7 linked regions of the Callithrix jacchus genome follow. The protein of the gene in region 1 interacts with the protein of each later gene in a pairwise test. Links are inferred from orthologs where the notes say so. Each region holds a gene or a part of one and is shown in the gene's direction. Other genes may lie near its edges. The genes, in order: REL, testis-specific serine/threonine-protein kinase 3, PLEKHN1, GADD45G, TSTD2, NCK2 and LENG1.

Region 1 (3,949 bases):
ATATTCCCCATTCCCTCTCTGTACCTACCTGCAGTAAAGGATAGCGGCAAGGGCACGGAACTTTGGAGTCAGACAACCCTGGCTTTTAACTGTGTCTTTTCTTTTACCAGCATTCTGAAGTACTGTATGTTGAAGTAATTCTCTGAACCCCAAATTCTTCAGCTATAAAATTAGGAATAATAAATGTCATAGATGAGGTATAGAAATTATCTGACCTATAGCAGGTACTATTCAAATGAAAGTAACGAAGTTATCCTAGGTCCTTTAATGGCCCTAAATGTTTGCTCCATTTCCCCTTTTCTTGGTATCTATGTGAAATCTCGGAATAAGGTGTCCACTTCACTAAACTTGAGTACACTGCGTAATGAGACAACCAACTCGAAGTGCAGACCTTTTGAGTTTAAACGGGTTTCAGCAGGTAAAATACATAAAGTTCACAGTGCCCTCGCAATTTAGGTAGACGAAAAAAAATCAGCCGGGGGGTGGGGTAGCTCCCCGTATGCAAATGTAGGAATTACAGAAGAAGACAGGCCCCCGCGCTACCGCACTTCCCCCTCCACAGTCCCGCGCGCTGGCGCGGGGGTGGAGATTTGCATGTGCGAAATCGGGAATAGGGGGAACCACCTCTCGAAAACCCCGGCCGTCGCCCTCCCGGGCTGCCAGGATCAGCCCCACTTGGCCGCCCGACGCGCCCCCAAAGGCTCCCGGGCGGCCGGCCCTCTCTACGTCACCCGCACCCTTCCGCCCGCTCCTGAACTTTAAACTACACTCGGAAGAACAACCTGGAGGAGGGGGATTTCTTAGGAGCCGGCGGCCTTCTCACGCTGCGAGCCGTCACCTCCCGGCGCCCACCGTTCCCTGCGCTCCCGAAGCTCCCTAGGTTCCCGCAGCCTCGACCCCCTGCCAAGACCACCACCACCACCACCGCCGCAGTGGCAGCAGCAGCTCTGGGGGCGTACGCGCGGAGGCGGGCAAAGAGCGTGAGCGTGCGCGGGGGGGGGGGGGGCCGCGAGGACGCGACGCCCCGCCCCACGCCTCCGGGTGAAGGCGGCCGCGTCGGGTATACGTCAGCCGCGGGAAATTCCCTCCCGCCAAGCAGCCCGCCTCTCGGCCGGGCGGGGAATCGGTTCTCGCCCCGCTCCGCCCCCTGCCCCTGGCTCCCGCAAGGTGGACAGGCGACGCAGGGCGACCCGGAGCGCAGGAATTCAGGGGGTGGGAAGGTGTGATCCTCAAACCCAACCGAGGGCGGGAAGAAGGAGGAGGACCCTGGGGTGGTCGGGGGACTGGGGGCCCCACCGGCACAGGTCCCTCGGCCTCCTGATTGACTGACTGACGGACTGACTGCGGCCGCCTCCGGCCGGGACGCTGGAAGCTGCCTGCGGGAAGGCGCGGGGAGCGGAGCCATGGCATCCGGTGAGTGTTACCGGGGGAAGGAGCTCTTCTGGGGATCCTGCCGCTGTGAGTTTAGGGAGCTTAGTTTTGGCTGGGGCGCGTTCTGTCTTTGAAATGTTATGTGATAAAATTGTCAGCTTTTTAAAAAGTCACCTGGTTCAGGGTTTGCGTCCGAAATCCAAGCCACGCTCTGTAATTTGATCCTGTTGTCATAAGCAAGAACCTTAGAAATTGCCAACGACTTTAGGATTAGGGAAGTCATAATCGAACTAAAGGAGTACGAGGAGTTCCCATACTTAAAAATGGGTATGTATTGAAGTGGTGGTTTTATGTTTTAGAACAAGAATGAGGAACCTTCAGACCTCGGGCAAGCTCTCTCCCCCTTTTTAGTTTAATTTCATCAGATGCAAAGAGGTGATCCCCCTTGTACTGACAGTTGTACAAAATGTGGCGCGGCTTTAAAAATCATCCGTGGTATTTTAACACGGATTTAAAAATCCGTGGTATTTTAAGTTTTAATGTTGCTTCGACCAACTGTGGGCCGGACACGGTGGCTCATGTCTGTAATCCAAGCACTTTGGGAGGCCGAGGCGAGCGGCTCACCTGAGGTCGGGAGTTCGAGACCACCCTGGGCAACATGGTGAGACCCCGTCTCTAATAAAAATACAAAAATTAGCCCGTAGTGGTGGCGCACGCCTGTGATCCCAGTTATTCGGGAGGCTGAAGCAGGAGAATCGCTAGAACCCGGGAGGTGGAGGTTGCAGTGAGCCGAGATCGCGGCCCTGCACTAAAGCCTGGGGGACCAAGCGAGACTGTATTTAAAAGAAAAAAAAATGTGAAGTTTTTATTGTGAGATAAAGCACAAGGTTTCTAATCTGACGAATAGAGACGTTGAGTCCCCGCTCCTCCCGGCTAAAAATAAGGGAAAAGGGAGTTTTAGAACATCGTGCTTTTAAATAGTAAGTAGGATTGAATACAGCTTTATTACTTTTAAATATATAATTTCCCTTAATAAATGCTCGAATCTCTTCCTTCCTCTCTCTCTTATACATAAGTTTATAAGAAACATTGCAAGGCAAGGAAGAGTCTCGTGTATACACAGACATGGTTTGGGGCTGCCTGTAGTTTAAGGTTAGGGGCGTAGGGGAGCCGGAGCTGGGGCCGGGAGATAAATCAAGTAACCTGGGTTCGATTTGGACTTTTACCAGGATTTTGGCAAGGTGAGTGGGGAGCGCTTTCCAGACAGAGGAAGCAGCGTGAGCAGAGGCAGGAAGGGCTAAACACATATATTAAATGCTGTACTAAGAGAATGAAGAGGGGGCCCCGTTTCTGAACTTGACTCCCATCCTCAAACTGCCTGGTTCAGTGACTCTTAGAAGAAAGCCGATGTCTAGTAGAGAAGAGGAAGTCGAAGCTTAAAGAATCTCTTTAAAAGGTTGAGCAAAACAATGCTGTAGCTATTGCTGTAGGCAGAAAAGGAAATTGGGGTGTTTCACTTGACATTTGATTTCAGTTTGTGGTTGTGAGAATACAAGTGTAGTTTAAAATATTTCAACTTTCCCTTTACGTGCTTAAGTGACCCCAAACTTTCAGATAATTCTGTACGTTTGTGAATTCAAAGCATGTGTAGATTGTAAGTGCTAACTAAGATGACTTCAAATATTTTGTTAATTTATTGGTTATCAGAAAGATTTTGTTTGGAAGTAATGAAGAATACCTAACGTAAGTAAGAAAGTTCAGCCTTCTGGCGATTTAATCAAACATTACTAATATATTGCATGAATGTAATACTTCTAATTTTTTCAAATGCGAGAGAAAACAACCATTTCTATATAGACTATTCTAAGATTCACAGGATTTTAAAATGTGTTACAATTTAAATTTGTTCATTGACACTGTATTTTGTGCTGTTGTGAGGACCAAGGATTCCCTAAATGTAAGGAGGAAATGTTTAAAGAAATGGAAAGTTTTAAAGGTTTGGAAGTTGAAGGGTGATTTAACTTTTTGTTTTTTGGTCTTTTCTGAATAGTTGCATTAAAATGGGACTATTTAAAATGTAACAAGTTATTTAAACTGTAATTCAGTTATTAGAAAACTGTCAGGCCTGGAATTTAAAAAAATGATTAAACGAATCTGTGTACTTTTCCTTAATCTGTTATATAAAGACCTTAGAGATAGAAAAAGATTCGCTAATGAAATTCTAAATTCCCATTCTGTTTTGAAACAGTAATTTAACCGGAAGAGTGACCAAAAAAAATTGCTTAGTTTTTCATTGCCTAATTTAGATTCTGTTGGTAGTAAGGTAGCATTAAAACTCAAAAAGTACTTTTATTCATTACAAAGCGTTTAAGAATATTTCTTCATTTCTCACGAGATATCATATATGAATAGGTATATGTAGTTGAATATGTGATATCTATAATGTAAAAGTAACAGAAATCATAATCTAAGCAAAATTATATAATTTAGAATATAGTTTAGAATCATGTATATACATATGATTCTAAATTTTGTTTAGATAAGTTAGCAGATTATTTAGGATTTCACATCGTGTATT
Region 2 (3,620 bases), on another chromosome or scaffold:
TAAAAGTATGCTTGTGTAGGCCCAAGAAGCGCAGAGAAAAATAACCCTGCTAAGACCACGCCCCGCACACCGAGCCCCTCTGGTTGCGGCTCAACCCCACAAGGGTCCTAAGGCCTCGCAGGCCTCGTCTGCAGCGGGCCGACGTCGAGCTCGGGCCTCGCCCTTCCCCGACGCCCTCTGGCTAGGCCCCGCCTCAGACCTGCCCGCAACGAGGGCCCGCCCACCGACCGCGCCCCCTGTGGTCCCGCCCCTCACCGGCTCTCACGGGCGCAAGGGAACTAGGTGTCTCTTCCTTTTGCCCAGAAAATAGTAGTTAATATTCTGCCAACGGTGCTTCCACCTGGAGGGAAGGGAAATCGAAGACAGGGTGCAGGCAAGGATCCTCTCCCTCCGGGTCTGCGCCCACTCCGCCCAGCCCCTTCCTTCCTTCCGCTCCCTGTCGCCTTCAGGCCCCGCCCTTCCCACCAAGTTCCGCCCACTCCCAGGCCGGGATCTTCGGCTCTGGGGATCCGCCCTTTCCCTAGACCGCGCCTCTTCGCGTAGGCCCCGCCCCCCGTCTACTCCCCGGGTCCTCGCCCCGCCCCTCCCCCGCGCACTCACGTGAGTCTCGGGCGTGCGCCGTAGCAGCTGGGCCAGCGTGCTGAGGGCACGTCGGCCAGGCCTGTGTCCCCGGGCAGCAGTAGCAGTTTGCGTGCCGGCCAGCGCCAAGCGGCGCCCGGAGGGTGGCGGCGCTGCGGGCTCAGCCAGTAGTCACCCAGGCTGCGGCGGGTGGCGGATACCGGCAACATTGGGCCCCGGCTGCCCCAGAAACACAACTCCTGGTCCAGGCGGTGCGGGGTTGTGGCCCGGGGCCGCCTGCGGGGGAGATGGCACAGCAGTCACCCCTGGAGAACAGGACAGGCGGGGAGGAGGGAGCTTCCTCGGATCGGATGAGGCAGGGCGCGGGCCGGAGTCACTCCTGGTCGATTTAGAGGGACTGGAGGCCCCTAGCGGGGCCTTCCCAAAGACCTGGGTGCCTCCTACCCCAGCCGCCAAACCAGGGCGCTTTATCCCGCGGGCGCCCTCCCTTGGTCCCCCTCACCGGGATAGAAGAAAATTCACCACGAAGTGAGCAGTCTCGGTGAATAGCATGATGTCCAGCCGGTCTGGCCCGACTTCGGCCTCTTTAATACCTGCCTGGGCGTGGAGGGGGAGGCCTGAAAACCCATAGGCCCCCTGGGACCGACTGTTTTTAGCAGGAGGCCAGGAGGTGTCAGCTGGCAGAGGAGGTGGGGGTAGAGCTGGTCTCTCGTGAGGTCTAGTCTGGTCTGCCCCCACTGGCCACTTCAGTGGGAGGGGGCTGGTCACCGGATCTCCAAGTTCACCAGAGACACTCCTCAGGGCCAAAGACAGAAGTGCAAGGACAGGGAAAGGCAGTAGGAGGGGACCAGGGACAGAAAGGTCAGCTGCCCGTTGGAAAAACCCTACCCTATCCCACCCAGGGCCTCCAGACCCTGCTCAAACAGTTTTTTTTTGAGACAGGGTCTCACTTTGTCATCCAGGCTAGAATACAGTGGGGTGATCATAACTCACTGCAGCCTCGACCTCCTGAGCTCAAACGATCTTCCTGCCTCAGTCCCCCAAGTAACTGGGACTACAGGTACTCACCACCACACCTGGCTAATGTTTTGTATTTTTTGTAGATACAGAGATTCACTATGTTGCCAAGGCTGGTCTCCAACTCCTGAGCTCAAGTGACCCACCAGCCTTGGCCTCCGAAATCTAGGATTATAGCTGAGCCACCAAGCCCAGCCTTTTCTTTTCTTTGCGTTAGGGTCTCAACTCTGTCACCCAGGCTGGGGTGCAGTGGCACAATCACTACTCACTGCATTCTCAACCTCCCAGGGCTCAAGCAATTCTCCTGCCTTTGCAGGAAGACTGCTGGGATTGAAGCAGCTGGGATGGCAGGCCCATGCCACCAAGTTCGACTAATTGTGTGTGTGTGTGTGTGTGTGTGTGTGTGTGTGTGATTTATTTATTTATTTTAAAGATGGGGTTTCACCATGATGGCCAGGCTGATCGTGAACTCCTGACCTCAGGTGATCCACCCACCTCGGCCTCCCAAAGTGCTAGGATTACAGGCATGAGCCACCGTGCCTGGTGTTTTTGTTTTTGTTTTGTTTTGTTTTTTAATAGAGATGGGGTTTCTCCATCTTGACCAGGCTGGTCTCAAACTCCTGACCTCAGGTGATCCACCCACCTTTGCCTCCCAAAGTGCTGGGATTACAGGCGTGAGCCACTGCGCCCGGCCATTTTTTGTGTTTTTTTTGTAGAGATGAGAGTTTTGCCATGTTGCCTAGGCTGGTCTCAAACTCCTGGGATCAAACAGCCTGCCCCTCTCCCAATCCGCTTTCCCAAGTGCTGGGGTTGTAGGCGTGAGCCACCACTCCTGGCTGGCCTCACACATTCCGGATGGTGTGCTCAGGCACAACTCACACCTCAAAGGGCCTTCTCTTCTCCCAGGCTTAGATGCACCCTGACCTGTTCCCATGGCCCTCATAGGAGCCTTTTCCCTAATTCTTTGCATGCTTAAATGTCAGCTCCTCAGCCAACTCTAGTTGGAGGCTGCTGGGGCTCCAGGACCCCCTAAACTGTCAGCAAAGTCCTGGTCCTGACACTTTCCTTCCCTGGAACTGAAAAGTCGATCTGTTTAACCCTCTCTTTTTGCAGAAGAGGCAACAGGTTCACAATGGGGCAGTGAAAAGCCAAAAGTAAAACCTAAGCTTTCTACAACTCTGCCTGCTCTTACAAAAGGTGAGACAACCCTTCTGTGTGTCCTTGTCCAGCTCAGGGCATGGGGTTCAGGGCTCAGAGCCCAGGCTGCTCCTGGCTCCTCCCTGATCCCTGGGGATCCTAAGGAACATGCTGGCCCAGCTCCCCTTCCCACATTGCCAGTTTGGGCTATTTCCCCTCCAGTGACTCACACTGGCTGCTGGGGAGAGTGGGCAGCTGTTCTGAGCCCCCAGAGCCCAGAACAGGTCCTGACTTGCCCCCCAGGTTGTGCAGCCATATTTGGGAATTTAATCTTTTTTTCCTCCATGGGGAATCTCCTTCCCCTAATCCCTTCTTTTTTTCCCTATCTTCAACCATTTTCCATATCTTCAGCCTCTCCCTCCCTGATGACTTCTTCCCATCAGCAGACAAAGAAGCTCTAGCCTTTCCTATCTTTGAAAAAAGAAAGCCCTCCCTCCACTCCACATCCTTCTCCAGCTCCCCTCTGCAGCCAGCATTCTTGAAGGAGTTGTATACACACGTTGTTTCCACTTCCTCACTCAGCCCCTGCAATCTGGCTTCCTCCCCCACCATTCCACAGGAACAACCCACCAAGGTCACCACTGACCTCCTTGTTGCTAAATCCAAGGGATGCTTACAAGTCCTTATCTGTCTTGACCCCTTAGCAGTGGCCAGCTTTGACACAAATAACTCCCTCCTCTTTGAGGTACTTTTAGGCCCTTGTATTTCTGGATACTGTGCACTTTTGATTTTCTTGCTATCTTACGGTTTGCTGCCACATGGCAAATTTCTTATCCTTTGCTCACTCCCTATTCATGGTTGTTCCCAGGCCTGCTAGTCTGTCCCTG
Region 3 (3,195 bases), on another chromosome or scaffold:
AAGCGGGCAGAAGGCCATTGGGTAAGCATGTGTTGGGGACCCTGTTTCCTCAGGGGACTAAGACTGGAGGGAGCCCCTGGCAGCCTCAGGGAATTGCATGGAGAGGGCCCCAGAGGCTCTTTCTGGAAGGTCTGTGGTCCTCACAGGACCAGGCCAACTCTGACCCCACCAGCATCTGCCAACGGAGGACAGAGCTGAGGCGCAGAGGCAGCAGCCGGTCACCCAGGAGCAAAGCCCGGGCAGAGGGCCAAGGCCCTGCCATACCACTGCACCTGGACCTGACACAGGTGGGCCTGGCACACCGGGGTGGGAGTATGGGCCCTGGCCTGGCTCCCACCACTCCTCATCTCAGAGAAGGAAAGAGTTAGGCTGCTTCGAGCTGAGGAACACACCTCTCCCACCTCTCCCCTGCAGCTGAACAGGCTGAGCCTGGAGGGCAGCTCAGAGGCCGCTGGCCACACAGAAACACCACACTCGCCCCTCTATGCCGACCCCTACACCCCACCGGCCACCTCCCACTGCAGAATCACAGATGTCCAGGGCCTGGAGGAGGTCAGTCCCTTGCTGAGCCAAAGAAAGGGTGGGATGTGCGGCCACCTGAGGTCGGGAGGTACCTGCACCCCAAGGTTCGGGGTCTAAGGAGGTCTAGCCCATGAATCTCGCCCTGGGGTCCGGGGCTGCCCAAAGCCTGAGGTCTGTTCTGACTGTGCTGGGAGGTTGAGTTTCGTTGCTGGGGTCCCTGGTGCCATCAAGGTTCCAGCCCAGGCCCTCCCTGCAGTTCCTCAGCGCCACGCAGAGCTCACCTGGACCTGTGCCCTTGAGCCCGCTCCCCTTGTTGCCCACATCTGTGCCTGTCTCTGACCCTGGCTCCAGCTCCCCCTGCCCCACTGGGCCCCACTTGCTCTCCAAGAAGGGAGCCTTGCAGTCCAGAGCCTCTCAGAGACACCGAGGCTCAGCCAAGGGTGCAGGGCCGCAGCCCGCAGACGCCCCTCAGCTCGTGAGTAGCAGCCCCCATGCCGGTGTGCCGTGGGCTCTGGGGGTGCTGGGGGGGCTGGTGTGGGGGCCTCCTGGGACTCTAAGGGAACAGGGAGGGAAACAGGAGGGCAGGGGCAGCTGGAGACCAGGGCAGCCAGCAGGGAGGCAGGCAGACAGGGCCAGGAAGGGAGAGCAGGGGTCATGTGGGTGATGCAGGGTCCAGCACTGCGCATGGACAGGCTGCCTCCAAGCTGCTTGCCTGGGGCCGTGCCCCTCTTAGACTTGTGGTTTGGGGTTCCCAGGTCTCTTCTGCCAGGGAAGGTTCACCCGAACCTCGTCTGCCTCTGACAGGTGAGTGACAGTCCTGCCTCCTAGGGAGGGTGCCTGTGGCCTCCCGTAGGCTGATGCATCTCTGCCTTCCCCCTAGATGGCCAGCCCCCCAGGAGGAACGAGGGCCCAGGCTGCAGCCACCCCTGGGATGAGACTTTGGCTTCCTCCCACCAGAAGTGCGCCCAGCTGGGAGGGCATGAGGCCAGTGGCGGGCTTGTGCAGTGGATCTGATGGCCCCAGCAGGGCAGGTTCTCAGGACCACCCTTGCCAGGCCTCCATGACACCCACCCCCTAAGCCACTTCAAAGTCCAAGTCAGGGTCTGAACCCAGTGAGGTGGGGGGAGTCTCCAGGGCCCTGGGCTCCTCAGCGCCAGCAGCTGGGGTGAGGAAGGGGCCCCATCCCAAGGACACCCTGGCTGGAGAGGCCAGGTCACAGGTCAGGGAGGCCCTGGCCATCCACAGGGTTGGCCCTCAGCTCAGCCAGCCAGGAGTCGGGGAGGAGACTTGGGGCGTTCCTGGGAGTGGGAGGGTGGCATGGGTGTGAAGGTCGGAGGACAGAGCAAGGTTAGCAGGGTCAGAGTATGTGAGGTCAGAGGGCAAGAGGGTCACCGGTCAGCAAGTGTGAAGGGCACAAGCCAGGGTGTGGGTGGGGGTGTCCCAAGGAGGAGGGCAGGTGCGGCCTTGTGGCCTGGGTGTGTGCAGCTTGGGAGAGGCCGACACCACCGGACAAGAAAGAAAAAAAGAAGAGAGAGAGAGAAAGAAAAGATTTTATTGGTGCCGCGTCTACATGTTCTCTGCTCAGCAGCTGGGGTCTCCCACAGTCTTGGACACCCTCTCACGCTCCCTCGGGGTTCCCCCATCTGGCACCCAGCCAGGCAGCCCCCTGCTACTGCCACCTCAGGCCCCTCACCTGCCTTCCCACTGCGTCTCTCACCCCTCTCAGCTGTGCCCCACAGCACCCCACTTCTGCCACCTCAGTCCCCTCACCTGCCTTCCCACCACGTTTCTGACTCCTCTGAGCCCCCAGGAGAAACCCAGAGCCCAGTCCTCCATCTGATGCCACCGAATTCTCCCTCAGCACCTGCACCAAGGGCCCTCGGGGCTCTACTGCAGACCCCCCACCCTGCAGGGGCCGCCTTCACTGTGTCAGGCCAGAGCCCGAGAGGCCTTGGCCACAGTCCCTCTGGAATTTGGGGTGATGAGCCTCGGAGCCCTTGCCACCAAGCCTACCCATGAGGAGGGCAGAGTCCTTAGACCCCCCACCCGCTTTGAGGCCACCCCATGTCCTCACTCCTTCCTCTGCCCAGAGCTCCTGTCCCGCCGCTCAGCCCCACTGCATCCTGGAAGCACAGGGGCGGTTTCCAGGTAAACAAGTCACTTCTCAGTAAAATGGCCTCCGTAGTATTGCACGTCCGAAATTCAAATTTAACCACATGCCCCGTGTTCTCATCTGTGAATCTGGCCACCCTGCTGCCCAGCCACCTGCCCGGCCTCCACCCACCGAGACTGGCATCTCCGTCCCCAGTGTGGGGAGCAGCTGTGCTCACTGGCTGGACCCTCAGGTGAGTCCTAGGGAGCAGCACCAGGACACGCCCCCCCGGACCCCGCAGAAGACGAGTCAGGGGGCCCCGGCGAGGGCGGCACCTGTTCCAGGCACCCGTGCTCAGCTCCTCGTCCTGCGTCTCCCTGGCCCGGGCCTGGCTCCTAGGAGCTGGGGCTGGGGCTGCGGCTGCGGCTGCGGCACCCTTGCCTCACCTGCCGGCGGAAGAATCGGATGGCAGAGACGGTGCCAATGTTGGCCAGCAAGACTGCAAGGGAAGCACAGGGTCTCCTGAGGGCCAGCTGTGGCCGTCAGCACCATCTGCCCGAAACGCTCAGGACTCGAAGGAC
Region 4 (3,389 bases), on another chromosome or scaffold:
TCAGCACAGCGTAAGACAAACAGGCTCTTACTCCATCAGCACTGGATGGGAATCTCCTTTCGCCCTCTACTCCCCGCAGTTACTTTGGATGCGATTTGCGGCCCTTAATCGGGTTCCTGTTAATGTTGGACAGGGCTCAGTGGGCCTGGCCGGGCAGCTCCGTGTCCGCCCCCCACCCACCGCTCTTCTCCCGCGCCAGGCCAACGGAAGGGTGTGTGTGTTGGGGAGAGGGGAGGAGAAAAGGGGTTTTAGGATCTTTCGAGCTTGCCTGTAGATGGCGCCCCGGGAAAGAGATTCTGGCCGCGGGGTTCCGGCCAGAGGGCGTCCAGCCTTGTAGACCGCGCACCAGCTCCCAGTCCTTCCCAACTAGCGCGACTGCTGGGCACCCGTGCGAGAAACGGGTGGAAGGGAATTACATGTAGCAGGGCCAATACGGGGGCGCGCACTCAGGGACCACGGAGTGGCACGCAGCCTCGACCCCACGCGCCGGGCAGCCCGGCGACCCCCACGCGCGGCGGGGGCCTGCCCGCCCCACCAGGCAGCAGGTGGACAGTGTTGCTATGAAGAGAAAGCCTGGATTGTCCCTACTGCAAACCGCCACACGCCAGACCTCTGCTATTGTGCGCCCTCCATAGAAATGCAAACGAGCGGCGTGCGCCGGCCGCAATCTGCTCGCCCCCGCCCGCCCCCCTCTCCGGCGCCCAGCGGTGCTCGGCCAAGGGCGGGGAGGTGGGGTAGGAGCTTCCAGCGACAACTCAATGTATACATTGAGTGTGCGTGGGAGGCATCGTCGGCGCTCTCCGGACGCTAGTGGTCAGCTGCAAGGGGCTGTGCCCACTGCCTTTTGCAAGCCCCTAACTGGCACTGCTTTTACCTTAATTTCCGGCTCCAATGCAACAGTTTCATAAACTTCAAATTAAAGGAAAGAAACAAATAGAAAGGTAGCAATAAAAATAAATGCCAAAAAAATTCCTTTTGATTCTATAAAGGTGCTTTTCGCAAATTGCAGCAACCTATTAGCAAACAAGGTTTTTGTGGGTTGGTTTTTTTTTTTTTTTTCTTTTTCCTTTTAAGGACTTCAAAAAAAAAAAAAAAAAGGCGAGATGAAATCTGCAGGCTCTAGTCTGCCTGGTAACACCCCAACAAAAGCGGCAGATTTGAGGCATTGTCATCCCCCGCACCCCTCCCCACGTGGCCTTCTGGCACGAGCCGCCGGCCCGCCGCCTCATTTACATCAGAAAGCGGGTGCCGGCCAATAGGCGCACAGCCTCGCGCCAGCTGGCGGCGCAGCACCCTCCAGCCTATATAAGGGCGCGCGGCGTAGCAGGGGCGCAGTCGCTAGTGGTAGATGAGCCGAGCCGAGATCTAACTCACCGTGTGTTCTCCCGTGCCCCCTCCGCGCTCTCCGCTTGTGGATAACTTGCTGCTGGTCGATCGCGCTATGACTCTGGAAGAAGTCCGTGGCCAGGACACAGTTCCGGAAAGCACAGCCAGGTGGGTCTCAGGGCTGGGAGAAAGCGGCTGGTCGGTCGGCGGCCTTCAGGGCCCTCCAGGGTGGGAGTAGGAGCCTGGGGTATCGGCGTAGGAGCCGAGCGCTGGGGTATCGGCGGCAGATCCAGGTTGGAGAGGTTGGGTGCGGGCGCCGAGCCGGGTCTGGAGTGTAGTTGGAGTGCCACGGGTGCGTCCGGGTGCGTCCGGGTGACCGGGGCTGGGGGCTCCTACCCCGACCGGCTCCGGCTCACTGTGCTGGCTCCTCCGCAGGATGCAGGGTGCCGGGAAAGCGCTGCACGAGTTGCTGCTGTCGGCCCAGCGCCAGGGCTGCCTCACTGCCGGCGTCTACGAGTCAGCCAAAGTCCTGAACGTGTAAGTGTAGACACTGCCAAGGCTGGGATACCGGGGCGGGGGTGAATGACTAGGAGACGGGCGGATGGGAGGGGTGGCGGCGGGAGACCTCTGCTCGCGGTTTCTGACCTTGGTCCCCACCTTGCTGCCCTCGCAGGGACCCCGACAATGTGACCTTCTGTGTGCTGGCTGCGGATGAGGAGGACGAGGGCGACATCGCGCTGCAGATCCATTTTACGCTGATCCAGGCGTTCTGCTGCGAGAACGACATCGACATCGTGCGCGTGGGCGATGTGCAGCGGCTGGCGGCTATCGTGGGCGCCGGCGAGGAGGCGGGCGCGCCGGGCGACCTGCACTGCATCCTCATTTCGGTGAGTAGAGTCCCGTCCCGTCCCCGCCCGGGTGTCGTTCCCGCCTCGGCCGGCTGCCAGCCAGGCTGACCCTGCTCTCTCTCCGCAGAACCCCAATGAGGACGCCTGGAAGGACCCCGCTTTGGAGAAGCTCAGCCTGTTTTGCGAGGAGAGCCGCAGCGTTAACGACTGGGTGCCCAGCATCACCCTCCCCGAGTGACGGCCCGGTGGGGACCTTGGTCTGATCGACGTGGTGACGCCCCGGGGCGCCTAGAGCGCGGCTGGCTCTGTGGAGGGGCCCTCGGAGGGTGCCCGAGTGCGGCGTGGAGACTGGCAGGCGGGGGGGGGCGCCTGGAGAGCGAGGAGGTGCGGCCTCCCGAGGAGGGGCCCAGCAGCGGCTGGGCCAGGCTGGCCCGAGCTGAGGACTCTGCAAGTGCATGGAGCGGGCTGCTCGCCCAGGAAGGCCTAGGCTGGGACGTTGGCTGCAGGGCCGGGAAGGACAGACTGGCCGGGCAGGCGTGACTCAGCAGCCTGCGCTCGCAGGAAGGAGCGGCGCCCTGGACTTGGTACAGTTGCAGGAGCGTGAAGGACTTAGCCGACTGCGCTGCTTTTTCAAAAACGGATCCGGGCAATGCTTCGTTTTCTAAAGGATGCTGCTGTTGAAGCTTTGAATTTACAATAAACTCTTTGAAACAAACTTATGCTCTTTATTGAGGGTAGGGGATCTTTGTGTCGGGGGAGGTGGTGAGCAGGGTTTCAGAGGATTGCTGGAACTTCGTGGAACTAATGGCACCTGTTCCGTCTTCCTGTCGGCAAGAATGACAGGCTCGTCGGCGCTGGCAGAGGAAGGGCATGCTGCCCACTGCTAGGGTAGAGCTTGGGCCCAGCTCCTACTTTTCTCCTTTTAGGTAGATTCTAAACTTGCAAAACAGGAGCGTATTTTAGATAAGACATCAGTGCAGCAACTAAAGCCTCGCCTTCCAAAGCGATAACAGTGACCTCTGCCTCCCCTCCCCCTCCCTCGGTCCCCCTCCCCCTCCCTCCCACAGCTGCTTATCTGAACAGCTTGCTGGAGGCCGCAGGCTTTCCTGCACAATGAGCATTGCCTTCTGCAGACCCTGCCCTTTGTGGTCCCTGAGGACGGTGGCAGGCTGCTCCTGCTCTTGGGGACTTTTTCCTGTTAAATGCTCTGACACA
Region 5 (3,500 bases), on another chromosome or scaffold:
GCTGTGGATAAGATGGCACCCACATGCTTTTCTGGTTAGAGTATAAATTGGCACATTTTTCTGGGAAGTCACTATTACAGATTAAAATTTCATGCTTTTTGACCCCTCAATTTTTATTTTAGATATCCTATATAGATGGTTAAAGATATAGAAAGAGGATGCATGGAAGCTCATTCAGCATTGCTTATAATAAATGTTCATCAGGTGGCAACTGGTTAAGAGAATTTTGTTTGTTTTACAATAAGCATAAGTAATTTTTATAAAAACAGTAATATTATTTTCCAAGAAAGAAAACATTTTGGTACATTTCTTCCCAGTCTTTTTCAATGTACTTTTTTAATGTGGTTGAGATTATATTGCATAAGCAAATTTTATCCAGTTTTTTTCACTTAACATTATTATATCATAAATCTTTTTCCATATAACTTAAAACTGGCTGCTTAATATTCCATGGTAAGCATACTCCATAATTTACTTTCCATTTTCCTTTTGAAAATAACTGATAGTGTTATTTGTAATATTTTAGGCCAAACTGTATTATGTATATTCCACTGTAACTGATTCCTGAGAATAAAATTATGATGCTGAGAGTTATTTAACCTCCTTAATATAAAGCCTAGTCTTAATTTCTCTAATAGTCCCTTCTAAAGCTTACTAATAAGAGAAGTGTTACTCTTCAGAGAATTGTATAGCATAATGGGACATAAAACTGGAAACCCCTGTGGAAAGATAATATAAGGAATCTCACTGAGACTTCTATTGGCCGTAAACTTAAGGTTATTTAACAGTGTTTGTGTTTGTAATCTAATTGCAGGCCTTTGCTCTTTTTGTCAAAACCAAAGAAGTTCCAACAAAAAGGAGTTTTGAATGTAAAGAAGAATTGTGGAAATGCTGTCAGCAACTATTCACAGACAGAACCAGCATCCATAGACATGTGGCAACACAACATGCTGATGAAGTTTATCACCAGACAGCTTCTATTTTAAAGCAACTGGCTGTGACATTGAGCACCTCAAAGAGTCTTTCATCTTCAGATGAAAAGAACTCTCTAAAAGAGTGCCTTCCACATAGCCATGAAGTGTCTGCTTGGCTCCCTGATATAAGCTGCTTTAACCCTGATGAGCTGATAAGGTAAGATTTTCATTCTGTATTTTGGTTTGATTTAAAGTATTTTTCCAACCACAATGAGATACTACAGTTCACCCATTAAAATGGCCAAAGTGAGAAAGACTAACTCTGCCAAATGTGAATGAGGATGTGGAACAACTGGAACACCCGGTCACTGCTGGAGGGAATGTAATATGGCACAACCACTTTAGAAAAGTGTTTGGCAGTTTCTTAAACATGCATTGTCCCTGTGGCCCACGCCTGGGTATAATGCCAACAGCAATAAAAACATGTCCACAGAAGGCCTTGTACAAGAATGCTCATAGCAGTTGTATTCATAGTAACAAAAAACTGGAAACAACTATAATTATCCATCAACAAGAGAATGAATAAACTGGTATAGTCCCATAAGAATACTGCATGACAATGAAATGCTATAAACTGCTAATATGCAAGAACATATATGGGTAAATGAGAAAATCCTTATGCTGAGTGAAAATAGCCAGACCTGGGCCATGTGTGGTGGCTCATGCCTGTAATCCCAACACTTTGGGAGGCCAAGGCAGGCAAATCACGAGGTCAGGAGTTTGAGACCAGCCTGGCCAACATGGTAAAACCCCGTCTCTACAAAAAAATACAAAAAATTAGCTGGGTGTAGTGGCAGGTGCCTGTAATCCCAGCTACTCGGGAGGCTGAGGCAGGAGAATCATTTGAACCTGGGAGGCAGAAGTTGCAGTGAGCCAAGATCACACCACTGCACTCCAGCCCCGGGGCTGGGGTAAGAAAAAGAAAATTGTAATATATATTTACTATTCTTTCAGTGGAAGTGGCTCATCATAAAGATCTTCACCCTTGTGACCCTTACATTGAGTAGGCTGAGGAGGAAGAGATTTTGGTCTTATTGCCTCATGAGTGCTAGAGGCAAAAAAAGATCTGCAAATAAGTGGACTTGCACAGTTCAAACCCATGTTGCTCATGGGTCAACTGTAGTCCAAATATGATAAATTTTTGTCATTACTACTCAGTGCCACATTCCCTTTGCTTATTGGAAAGCAGAAAGTTAGAAAGCAAATTGAAGTAGGAGTCACACTTGAGCTATTCACTAAAATTTTCCGTACCTTCATTTCCTCACCTCTAAAATTGGAGTAACAATCCCTGCCTTGCCTTCCTCCCAGTACTGCAGAATGGATTATATAGGATGGTGATAGAATGAGCTCTTGTGAACTACAGTGTGCTACACAGATATGGCCATTCCATTTCATTATGGCCCCACTCTTCAGGGAATTTACTTACTGGTTAGAGTAACAAAGAAAAAGACACATGAGACAGATTAGCAGATGATACAAAACAGGTTATATAATTACCAGTTGAATTGTATGGTACAGAGACTAATTTGTTAAAGGAGCTTAGAGAAAGGAAAATAGGATCTGAAATAGGCAAGAAGGTTTCATGGAGGAGACTAGGCCCTGCAATATGATGAGGCTGTTGATGAGAGACTCAGACTCCAGAGCTGGAGAGGACTTTAATTGTCCTGTACAGTAGCATTCCCTAAAATATGTTCTGTGGAACACTAGTTTTAGAGGCTGCTAACAAGATATTGAAAAAATGGTTATGAAAGACAAATTTGGGAAGCACTCAATCAAACTGTTGTTACTGCAAGACTTCTCAGAGCCTTTAATAGATTAAGAGGCTTTTGCTGTGATTCTTAAGGAGGGAGATGCTGTCTACAGGGTTTCCAAACGTGACTTTATAGAGCAGCTTCATAACACACTTTGGAAAATATAATTTATTTGCATTCTCATTTTACAGATGAGGAAACTAAGGCCCAGAAGTGATGAAAAGACCTGCCCAGGTTTCACAGCTAGTTGGTTTAAGACAGCACAGTGCAGTAGAGAAAGAGCATAGATTCTGATGTCAGAAGACTGGCATTCAGGTCCTTGCTATCACTTTCTGGCTATCTCATTTGTGAGGAATTGGCCTCAGTTTATTCAGCTATAAAATGGGGATAATAATAACCTGTATCATAGAAAGGGTTATAAGAAAAAACGTAAGTGATCCTGAAATACCATAGGGGAAAAAATTTTTTTTTAAATTTAAAAATTAAATAAATATAAGAAAAAATAGAAGTGAAACTTTTTTGTATGATGATTCATACAGATCCTTCCTTATATGAGAGGATAAGCCAGAATGGAACCAAATTTCTAACTTGTCTATGAATTGGAGTTACTAATACCTGTCTCTTGGATATGACCATTAAATGAGGGACCAAAGTAAACTCACTTTTGTAAAGTAAGTTTGGTACAGATACTGTCTTCTGTACAGCAAATATAAAAGGAAATTGCTTTTCATTTCAGGAGGAGAACGATAATCAGAGCAAAGGCAGGCATGAGTGT
Region 6 (4,033 bases), about 37 Mb from region 1:
TATTGAGCTATTGAGGGCTACCTACTGCCAGGGTACTTCACATAGGAGATAGGTAAATATTATCTCCTGGCCGGGAGCAGTGGCTCGCACCTGTAATTTCAGCATTTTGGGAGGCTGAGGCAGGCAGATCACAAGGTTAAGAGATCGAGACCATCCTGGCCAACATGGTGAAACCCCATCTCTACTAAAAATACAAAAATTCGCTGGGCATGGGATCGGGCACCTGTAGTCCCAGCTACTCCGGAGGCTGAGGCAGAATCACTTAACTGGGCAGGCAGAGGTTACAGTGAGCCGAGATCATGCCACTGCACTCCAGCCTGGCAACGGAGCAAGACTGTCTCAAAAAAACAAAAACAAAAACAAAAAACTCCCCATTTGACAGATTTTAGAAAGGATAAGGCCCACCTGTGTGAAATTACACAGTTCAGGAAGTCAATAGTCACTCACCTGTCTGACTGCAAAGCTACACTGCCTCTAGTTACCTATCTTAGGGTATTTCCTTTCTGGAAGAGGCAGGAGATGAGTGAGTCAAATAATACTGCTTTATAATCTTGGGTAAGTTATTATTGCCTTAATAGTAAGCAGAGATTAGGAGCCTAAGAAAGAATCTTATTAACATGGATGCAGGCTATCCTGCCAGAAAATCAGAATTATTTGAATATTAGAATTTCCTTTGGGAAATCACATGGGGAGGAGCAAAGACATCCGGATGAAAGTGCCTGTGAAAGGGAAGCTTGTGTTTTTCCCCTTGCTCTTGGGTTTTAATCTTCCAAGTTTGTTTACAGGTTAGCCACAACTCGAGGCTGTGTGGGCTGAACGGTCCCACTATTAGCCACCCACCTTCTAGGGGCCCATTCGGGCAGCTCCTCTTCGGGTTTTGCCCCACGGGTGTGCAACCAGGATTCCACTGGCTGGGGCTGGCCTGGATGCCTGCGAGGCAACAGAGGTCGAGTTTCCTCTCCTTCTTTTAGGGAGTGCCTCGGACGGGATGATGGACTAAAAACGTGTCTGGTTGGGAAAGTAAATAGATGCAAGGCAAATAAATAAAAATGCCCACAAGCAATTACAGGGAGGAAGTGACATTTTTATACAAGTCACTTTTCTGATGGACAACAGGCCTGCTTCGCTGACTGCCGTGGGAGTGCTTCCGGGACGGGGGCGGCTGCCCAGCAACTAGAGCTTCGTGATAAGAACATGAAACAAACAAAAAAGAGCACGCAAAGCCCACCCGGCAGTCATCCGAGGCTGGAAGTTACCACTTGGGTTTTCACTCTCCTCCCCACCCACCGCCCGCGCGCAATTTCGGGCGTAGGGACCCTTTCCTGCACCGGACGCCCGGCCCGCGCTGCGCCTGCAGAGCGGAGCGTCCCCTAGCCCTGCTCTATCCCGGAGCGCTTACCGAGACCCAAGACGCGGAGCCTGGTGGCGCCGGGGGGCGCCCCAGGTGGGTCTCGGGTCCCCGCCCCGCGCGCCCGGGCCTGGGCCGGCCCCTGGGCGGCGTCACGGCGCGGCCGGGGAGGAGCACGGGAGGAGGAGGAAGAGCGCGGAGGAGGCGGGCGCTGAGCGCCGGGGGAGGGTCGCCGCCGCCGCTGCCGCCGCCGCCGCCGCCGCCGGGATCGTCAGGCCAGAGCCGCGCGGCCGAGCGGGCGGCCGGCGGAGGGGAGGGCTCGGCGGCTGGGAGGCTCGCGGCGCCCGGGCCGGCGGGGTCCGCCCGGGCCGGCAGCGTCCGCCCGGCGGCGGGAGGAGGGAGCGGCGCAGACAAAGAGCGGCGCTTGGGCGGGCGCAGCGCGGCCGCCGCCCCGGGACCCGCGCCGCTGCCCTCCGGCTCCGCGGGCGGCCCACGGCGAGGTAAGCGCGGCACGGCGGGAGCGGGGCGGGGGCCGCAAACTTGGGGCCGTTGGGCGGAGTTGGGAGCTTAGCGGGGCTCTCGGGCCGGGGCGCGCCCGGGCAGGGGTTGGGAGAGCGGGTCCACTCCGCGCCCCACCGGTGCTCTCGGCCCCGCCGCGGCCTGGGCACCCCCGACCGCGAGCTGCCCCGCTCCTCCTGGCCCGGCACCTTCCTGCCTGCCTTCCCGTCCCCACCCCCCGCCATCGGGGGCCGGCGCAGGGGCGGGGACGCCCGCCAAGGGCGCAGGCGGGGATCAGGGCAAGGGGCCCGGCGGCGGGGCCCGGGGACTCGAGACCCCCGGGTGTGCAGGCAGCTCTTGGCCTGCTGGCCGGCGGCTGGCACGGAGCTTGGGGCTAGCGTAGGACCGTGCAGTGGCCAGGGTCGCCAGGGCGCGCGTGCTAGGGAAGAAGAGCCGGGGATCTCAGGGCCCCGGCGCAGGGACGCGGGAGGCCGAGATCGGCCGGGAGAACTTAACTGTGTTTATTACAACTATTTATGATCGCGCACAAAGCTGCTGTCACATCGCATAAAGGAGGTCCTCGCGTCGGCGAAGGGAGCTTTTGTGCCCTGCTTCAGGCTGTGCGCCCTGCCCCAGATTTACAGGACTCTTACAGCCACCTGAACCAAAGTTTCTCACAATCGCTCGGCCTTTCGGTTTCTTTCAGGGCGATTTAACCACCGAGTGGTTCTGGAAACATTTGATATGTGAGTTTTAAGGCACCCTAACTCCCTTACAAACACAGTTAGCTTGGCATTGTGTGGAGGGGTTTAATTTGCCACACACTTTAACTTGTAGACAGTAAGGATCTCTGTGAAGGTCTGCGCTGGATGCTAGGGGTCATTGGCTGGTGGACCCCAGGCACCTGACTTAAACTAATATTGTAACAGCTTCAGGGACAAAGCCGAGCGTGCATGGAGTCGGCCTTGGCCACTTCAGACAATTCAGGTTGGCAGATTTGGCTTTATTTTACCAACAGGTTTAAGGTTGCTTCTGCCAAGTTTGCGTCTGCATAATGGGATAAGCAGGCCCTAGTGTGGGCAGGAGGGGCTTAAAATATCGCACTGGCCAGCTCCCTCCCTAGACCCAGAAAGGAACTAGCCAGAGAAGCCGGTGGGCGTGGCTTGCTCGGGACCCACAGGTAGAGGAGTCCCTTCCTGGCCCAGGCCCCAGACCCAGTCCCTGCTTCTCAGAAAGGATTTTGTGTAGGAATGAAAGTGATTCAGGTTGTGTTTCATGCTTCTGTTTTGGATGTAGTTATCGAATCTGAAAAGTGACTGAAAATGAAATTAACCTGGGCTGCTTTAACTTAACAGTACAGAACTGTGCTTGTGAACACTCCCTCAATTCACTTTCCAAGCGTTCATAAACGGGTGAATTAGTAACAGGATTCAAGCCAGTGTGAGGTTTCTGTAAAGAGAACGGCAGTCATGGGACACATGGAGAAGAAATGCATTTCATCTGGAGATTGGGCTAGACATGTAGGTTTTTTGATGTTTGAAACAGGGATTTCCTGCGAAGCAAGTGTTAACCCTGCTTGTGAAGAAGTGACCACAAGGGAAAATCCTACCTCAGTATTTTCTCCCCTGGAGGTTGGTTAGATGTAGTTTTGACTGGAGACGGTGGCAGAATCTTAGTGCTCTTTTGGCGGCTACTTGATGCTGAAATTAAGAACTTTGGCCATGGGAATCTGTGGAGGTGCCTGGCCCACTTCCTGTCCTGGAGGCCTTGCATGGATTCTGAGCTTCTTTCCTGCTTCATAAACATTCAACGGGATTGATCATGAAACACTGGATGAAATTGGGTCATAAATTACCATCAGGGAAAGTTGGCTGCTGCATAAACCCCTCTGTCCGCTTGTGAAGAAACTGACCCTATTAACGATGGGACTTGCTGAAGGCCCTTTTCAGGTAGCTGTGCTCAGTTTTCAGGCTTTGTGTTTTGCTTAGGACACACTACATACTTAAATCTTCTTCATCTCTCTCTGTTTGATCCTGCTGTACTTACCCAGGCACTGTCATTTACATTTGGGGTTATTTAGCTTTTCCAAAACACAGCAGATCTTATGTACACAGTACCATATTTGAGAAATGCACTATCATCCATATTAAATACACTGGAAGTCCTCCTTGACTGTGCACAGACTGG
Region 7 (4,256 bases), on another chromosome or scaffold:
ACCCTCTTCTTCACCTGCTCTCCGGCTGCCCGCACGTTCCGGGCCTCCACAGCGAATTTCTTTTTCCCCCTGGTCCTTCTCCTGGGTCTGGCCATCTCCAGCGTTCCTCTGCTTTACAGCATCTTCCTGTAAGTGCGAGAGGCTCCTGCCTCTTTCCCTCCCTCTCCCTGCGTTCAGCGTTCAGACTCCTGGCTCTACGTGAGCCCAGCCTATCTTGACTTCAGGATCCCACCTTCTAAGCTATGTGGTCCATTCCGGGGGCAGTCGTCCATCTGGGCCCAGATCCCTGAGTCTATTTCCAGCCTCCCTGAGACCGCCCAGAACTTCCTCTTCTTCCTGGGGACTCAGGCTTTTGCTGTACCCCTTCTGCTGATTTCCAGGTGAGTTTGCCCAGACTTCTGGGTCTGGGTTTGAATGCACGTGATCTGGGGGCCACCACCTGCGTCGGAGAGAGGAGAGGCTCGGGGTGGGAGGAGGCCTAGGGTCCAAAGGAGGAGGAGGAGGAGGGTGGGACTTAGGACTCCTGGGCTGGGAGACTGAAGTCCTTGTAGATGACATCCTGGCTTTGAAGGAGCCAGGGGTTTGTATAGAATGGAGGAGCGTGTCAGGAGTGGCTTCTGTTCGTGTCTCCTCCAGCATCCTGATGGCGTACACTGTGGCTCTGGCTAACTCCTACGGTCGTCTCATCTCTCAGCTCAAACGTCAGAGAGAGACGGTGAGCCAGGCGGGTCCCTGAGAGGGACCCCGTGGGGGACATTGAAAGGCATTGGGGGAGAGGGCTGTCTGACCTCCACCTCTCTTTGCCTCAGGAGGCGCAGAACAAAGTCTTCCTCGCACGGCGCGCTGTGGCGCTGAGCTCCACCCACCCGGCTTTTTGACCCCTGCAGCCCATGTCCCACCTTCAGACTCCAGGCCAATTGTAAGCCTAGGTCACATCTGTAAAACTAGGAGAACTAGAGAAGACCCCACGCTCTTCCAGCTCTAGGATCTGGAGGTTTCCAGAGACCCTCGCCGCCACGTCCCAGACTCTCGGGTGATCTTTCTTCTATGAATAAACACAGCCGAGGTGACTGAGCGCGCTTTGAAATCTGCGTCCTGAAGGTGGGGGCAGGGCTACATCAGGGCGGGAGCCAATCAAATGCATGGGAATGTGTGGCCGTTCGAAGTGCTCTTCCGCAAGGAGACTTGATGGTTGTGTTGGCCAATCGGCGGCCGAATCTGGCATTAGGGGAGGGCCAACTTGCGATTGGCTCGGATATGTGAAAAGCGGTTGCTAGGGGATACCACGCGCCAAAAGCCTGGCATTCGCTGAGATAAAGGGCGTCTTAGCCAATCACCTGTCGTTACAGGCCAGGGGGCCGTACCAATGAGTTAAGAACCAATCTGTGGTCGAAGTAGGGACAAGAGGGAAGGGGCATTCTCTCGCCAATCGGAAGTGCAGAGAGGCGGGCGTGCCAGTCCGTGGACTGCTACGACGCCATGAATATCTTGCCCAAGAAGAGCTGGCACGTCCGGAACAAGGACAATGTTGCCCGCGTGCGGCGTGACGAGGCCCAGGCCCGGGAGGAAGAGAAGGAGCGTGAGCGGAGGGTGCTGCTGGCTCAGCAGGAGGTAAGCCTGGGAACCGGCCGGGCGGAACTCCGGGGCCCAGCGCGCAGGCGCCATGGTAGGGGGCCGGAAGTGGACGCGTTGCGCAGGCGCCGTGTGCCCCGTATGTAATTCGTGACCCGGCGCGGACCTCTTTTCCGAAACGTTGCTCGGCAAACGTTGTGCCCACTTGCATGAAATCTCCCTTGATCGCCCCCTCGTCTTGTTTCCCCCCACTGATGTATTTCACATGGCTAGAGCAGTGTCTAGCACAAAAGAGAAGCATAAATGTTTACCGAATTCAGGATTCCTTGGACAGTTTGAGGAAATTCGGATCACTTTCTAGTTGGCTTGCACAGTCTATTTATTGAGCAGTTACTGTATGCTAACTGCATGCAGAACGCCTGACTTCCAGAATCCCCCTTAAGCACCGTTCTTTCTTAAAGAGGCATTGTCATCTCCGTGGCACGAAGTGAGATGGCGTCAAGGGAGGGGAAGTCTCCACCCCCTTGGGCGAGCCCTTTCCCTGCACCACCCCCAGACACACACACAAACATGGGCTTTATGTATAGCTCCTTAAATCTGTTTGGTGTACACCTAACTTTCAGTTCCTTAGCCAGTCTGATCCTCCACACTGGGAGGGAGGTAGTCTGGGTTTTTAGAATCTCAGTAGGCTGCTGAGAGCTTTGTCCTGAAGGTGGGAGACCGGGCTTCATCAATGGACTTGGGGTAATGACTTGGAGCCATGCCTGGAATCCAGATCATCTGACCTAATGCAGTTTGTTCTACCTTTATAGCTGTTTTAATTGTCTCACTTGAGGTTAGGAACCCCTTTGGTTTAGGCCAGGGACCTCCTCCCAGCCATCCTTGATGTGTGGTTTACTATTTGAAAGGCAGTTTACAAAACCCAGGTGTTGCCTTATCTGCCTACCCTCACCCCTGCTAGGACAGGTGCCCCCTTTCTTACAAACCCAGCACCCTGGACTGCTGTTTCCTGTGGTGCGCACCAGACTTAAAAGTTCTTGAATTACCTTTAGGTTTTTAATGTCTTGCCTGTAACTTTCTCCCCAGGCCCGTACAGAATTCCTACGGAAGAAAGCCAGACATCAGAACTCACTGCCTGAGCTTGAGGCAGCAGAGGTGGGAGCCCCAAGTTCTGGCCCTGTGGACCTGTTTCGAGAGCTGCTGGAGGAGGGGAAAGGCCTGATCAGAGGCAATAAAGAGCACGAGGAAGAAAAGCGACAGGAGAAAGTAAGCTGGCCTTATCTACTTCATCAGAGACATGAATGGAGCTGGGGGGAGGGACACTTTAGCCATTGGTTGTGACTAAGGCTAAACAAGAGTGAACACTCAGAATTTAGAACCATACCAAAGCACACTCAGAAGTGGTGGCTGTTGCCATTTGGGTGCCCTCAGGGCTTGGAGGTAGATGCTCGAGATCCCCAGCTGCTAGGTGAACTGCTCAGGTCTCCAAACTGGAGGGGTCTCAAACCTGATGAGCTTTTAAAAATCTAAATCAGCTTGGTGGTGGCTCATGCCTGTAATCCCAGCATTTTGGGAAACTGAGGTGGGCAGATCACCCGCGGTCAGGAGTTCAAGACCAGCCTGGTCAACATGGTATCTCTACTAAAAATACAAAAAAAGTTAGCTGAGCATGGTGGCATGCACCTTTAGTCCCAGAGGCTGAGGCAGGAGAATCGCTTGAACCCAGGAGGTGGAAGCTGCAGTGAGCTGAGATCGTGCCACAGCACTCTAGCCTGGGTGGCAAGAGTGAGACTCAATCTCAGGAAAAAAAAAAAAAAAAAAGTGAATCAATCACTTCTTGCCTTTTGGCTAAGATCGAGTGTAAAAGCTCCTGTTCCTCACCTGCTGTCTCTGGACTTGCTGACCCCACCCACGGGTCCTCTTGCTTTGCTTGCTCCCTGCAAAGATGCCTGCCTCTGAACATTCAGGCAGCTCCACCCCATCCCCTCCTTCCTCTGCTTTCTGTGACTGTCCCTGCTATCGTCACCCCAGGGCAGGAGCTTGGCCTCTGCTGGTCTCTTCCCTCCCCAGCACCTGGCACAGCTGCTTCACCATAGGCCTTAGATACCTGTGTCAGGGAGATAAACCTGACACCCTGAAAGATTATATCCCATCTCTTTTATTTCCTGACCCCTCAGGAGAGACAAGAGAAAGCTCTGGGCATCCTGACATACCTGGGCCAGAGTGCAGCCGAGGCCCAGACTCAACCCCCTTGGTACCAGCTCCCACCAGAGCGAGGGGGTCCCCCGCCTGGCCCAGCCCCAGATGAGAAAATAAAGAGCCGCCTGGACCCTCTGCGGGAGATGCAGAAGCATCTGGGGAAGAAGAGACGGCACAGCAGTGATGAAGGCAATCACAGCAGAAAGGAAAAGGATGGCTCTGAGACACAGCGACCCAAGGGGTGAGGAGGAGGACCCTGCCCTGGCAGAGCAGGACCCAGATCTTCAGGGCTTGGCAGCAGCCTGGCACAGGCACAGCAGGAGCTCTGGGTGGAACAGCCAGGGACCCCGTGAAGGGATGGCTGGGTGGAAAAGTGGTTCTCACCATGTGGTCCAGGGAGCCCTAGGGGTCCTGACTCCCTTTCCGGGGGGTGCCGTGGTGTCAAGCCTATTTTCCTAACACTGTTTGCCTTTCACACTCATTCT

What was found.
Region 2: the proteins of REL (region 1) and testis-specific serine/threonine-protein kinase 3 interact in binary tests that used the Homo sapiens proteins (3 or more experiments, as listed by UniProt). The two-hybrid records come from large-scale screens. The link is inferred for Callithrix jacchus from reciprocal best matches to the Homo sapiens genes REL and TSSK3.
Region 3: the proteins of REL (region 1) and PLEKHN1 interact in binary tests that used the Homo sapiens proteins (3 or more experiments, as listed by UniProt). The two-hybrid records come from large-scale screens. The link is inferred for Callithrix jacchus from reciprocal best matches to the Homo sapiens genes REL and PLEKHN1.
Region 4: the proteins of REL (region 1) and GADD45G interact in binary tests that used the Homo sapiens proteins (3 or more experiments, as listed by UniProt). The two-hybrid records come from large-scale screens. The link is inferred for Callithrix jacchus from reciprocal best matches to the Homo sapiens genes REL and GADD45G.
Region 5: the proteins of REL (region 1) and TSTD2 interact in binary tests that used the Homo sapiens proteins (3 or more experiments, as listed by UniProt). The two-hybrid records come from large-scale screens. The link is inferred for Callithrix jacchus from reciprocal best matches to the Homo sapiens genes REL and TSTD2.
Region 6: the proteins of REL (region 1) and NCK2 interact in binary tests that used the Homo sapiens proteins (3 or more experiments, as listed by UniProt). The two-hybrid records come from large-scale screens. The link is inferred for Callithrix jacchus from reciprocal best matches to the Homo sapiens genes REL and NCK2.
Region 7: the proteins of REL (region 1) and LENG1 interact in binary tests that used the Homo sapiens proteins (3 or more experiments, as listed by UniProt). The link is inferred for Callithrix jacchus from reciprocal best matches to the Homo sapiens genes REL and LENG1.

The regions. Positions count from the first base shown.
Region 1 is NC_133515.1:53,247,950-53,251,898, reverse strand, and holds the start of REL (proto-oncogene c-Rel), read left to right. Parts: upstream 1-1,149; 5' UTR 1,150-1,403; coding exon 1,404-1,413; intron 1,414-3,949. UniProt on the Homo sapiens protein: Proto-oncogene that may play a role in differentiation and lymphopoiesis.
Region 2 is NC_133508.1:68,965,795-68,969,414, forward strand, and holds the start of testis-specific serine/threonine-protein kinase 3, read left to right. Parts: upstream 1-1,309; intron 1,310-1,541; 5' UTR 1,542-1,639; intron 1,640-2,709; 5' UTR 2,710-2,793; intron 2,794-3,620. Other genes in the region: uncharacterized protein LOC144576966, read right to left, coding at 262-340, 601-855, 1,102-1,208. UniProt on the Homo sapiens protein: Serine/threonine protein kinase required for spermatid development and male fertility.
Region 3 is NC_133508.1:39,194,571-39,197,765, forward strand, and holds the end of PLEKHN1 (pleckstrin homology domain-containing family N member 1), read left to right. Parts: intron 1-146; coding exon 147-287; intron 288-414; coding exon 415-552; intron 553-778; coding exon 779-997; intron 998-1,277; coding exon 1,278-1,326; intron 1,327-1,402; coding exon 1,403-1,536; 3' UTR 1,537-2,695; downstream 2,696-3,195. Other genes in the region: PERM1 (PGC-1 and ERR-induced regulator in muscle protein 1), read right to left, coding at 3,010-3,113. UniProt on the Homo sapiens protein: Controls the stability of the leptin mRNA harboring an AU-rich element (ARE) in its 3' UTR, in cooperation with the RNA stabilizer ELAVL1.
Region 4 is NC_133502.1:73,441,998-73,445,386, forward strand, and holds GADD45G (growth arrest and DNA damage-inducible protein GADD45 gamma), read left to right. Parts: upstream 1-1,331; 5' UTR 1,332-1,441; coding exon 1,442-1,494; exon of another isoform or gene 1,495-1,761; coding exon 1,762-1,863; intron 1,864-1,999; coding exon 2,000-2,213; intron 2,214-2,301; coding exon 2,302-2,412; 3' UTR 2,413-2,889; downstream 2,890-3,389. UniProt on the Homo sapiens protein: Involved in the regulation of growth and apoptosis. Mediates activation of stress-responsive MTK1/MEKK4 MAPKKK.
Region 5 is NC_133502.1:145,751,996-145,755,495, reverse strand, and holds part of TSTD2 (thiosulfate sulfurtransferase/rhodanese-like domain-containing protein 2), read left to right. Parts: intron 1-814; coding exon 815-1,131; intron 1,132-3,500.
Region 6 is NC_133515.1:15,811,286-15,815,318, forward strand, and holds the start of NCK2 (cytoplasmic protein NCK2), read left to right. Parts: upstream 1-1,233; 5' UTR 1,234-1,444; exon of another isoform or gene 1,445-1,500; coding exon of another isoform or gene 1,501-2,361; intron 2,362-4,033. Other genes in the region: uncharacterized protein LOC118147454, read right to left, coding at 1,501-2,361. UniProt on the Homo sapiens protein: Adapter protein which associates with tyrosine-phosphorylated growth factor receptors or their cellular substrates. Maintains low levels of EIF2S1 phosphorylation by promoting its dephosphorylation by PP1.
Region 7 is NC_133523.1:47,340,471-47,344,726, reverse strand, and holds the start of LENG1 (leukocyte receptor cluster member 1), read left to right. Parts: upstream 1-1,456; 5' UTR 1,457-1,479; coding exon 1,480-1,611; intron 1,612-2,658; coding exon 2,659-2,838; intron 2,839-3,749; coding exon 3,750-4,012; intron 4,013-4,256. Other genes in the region: voltage-gated chloride channel TMC4, read left to right, coding at 1-128, 225-380, 637-715, 810-878.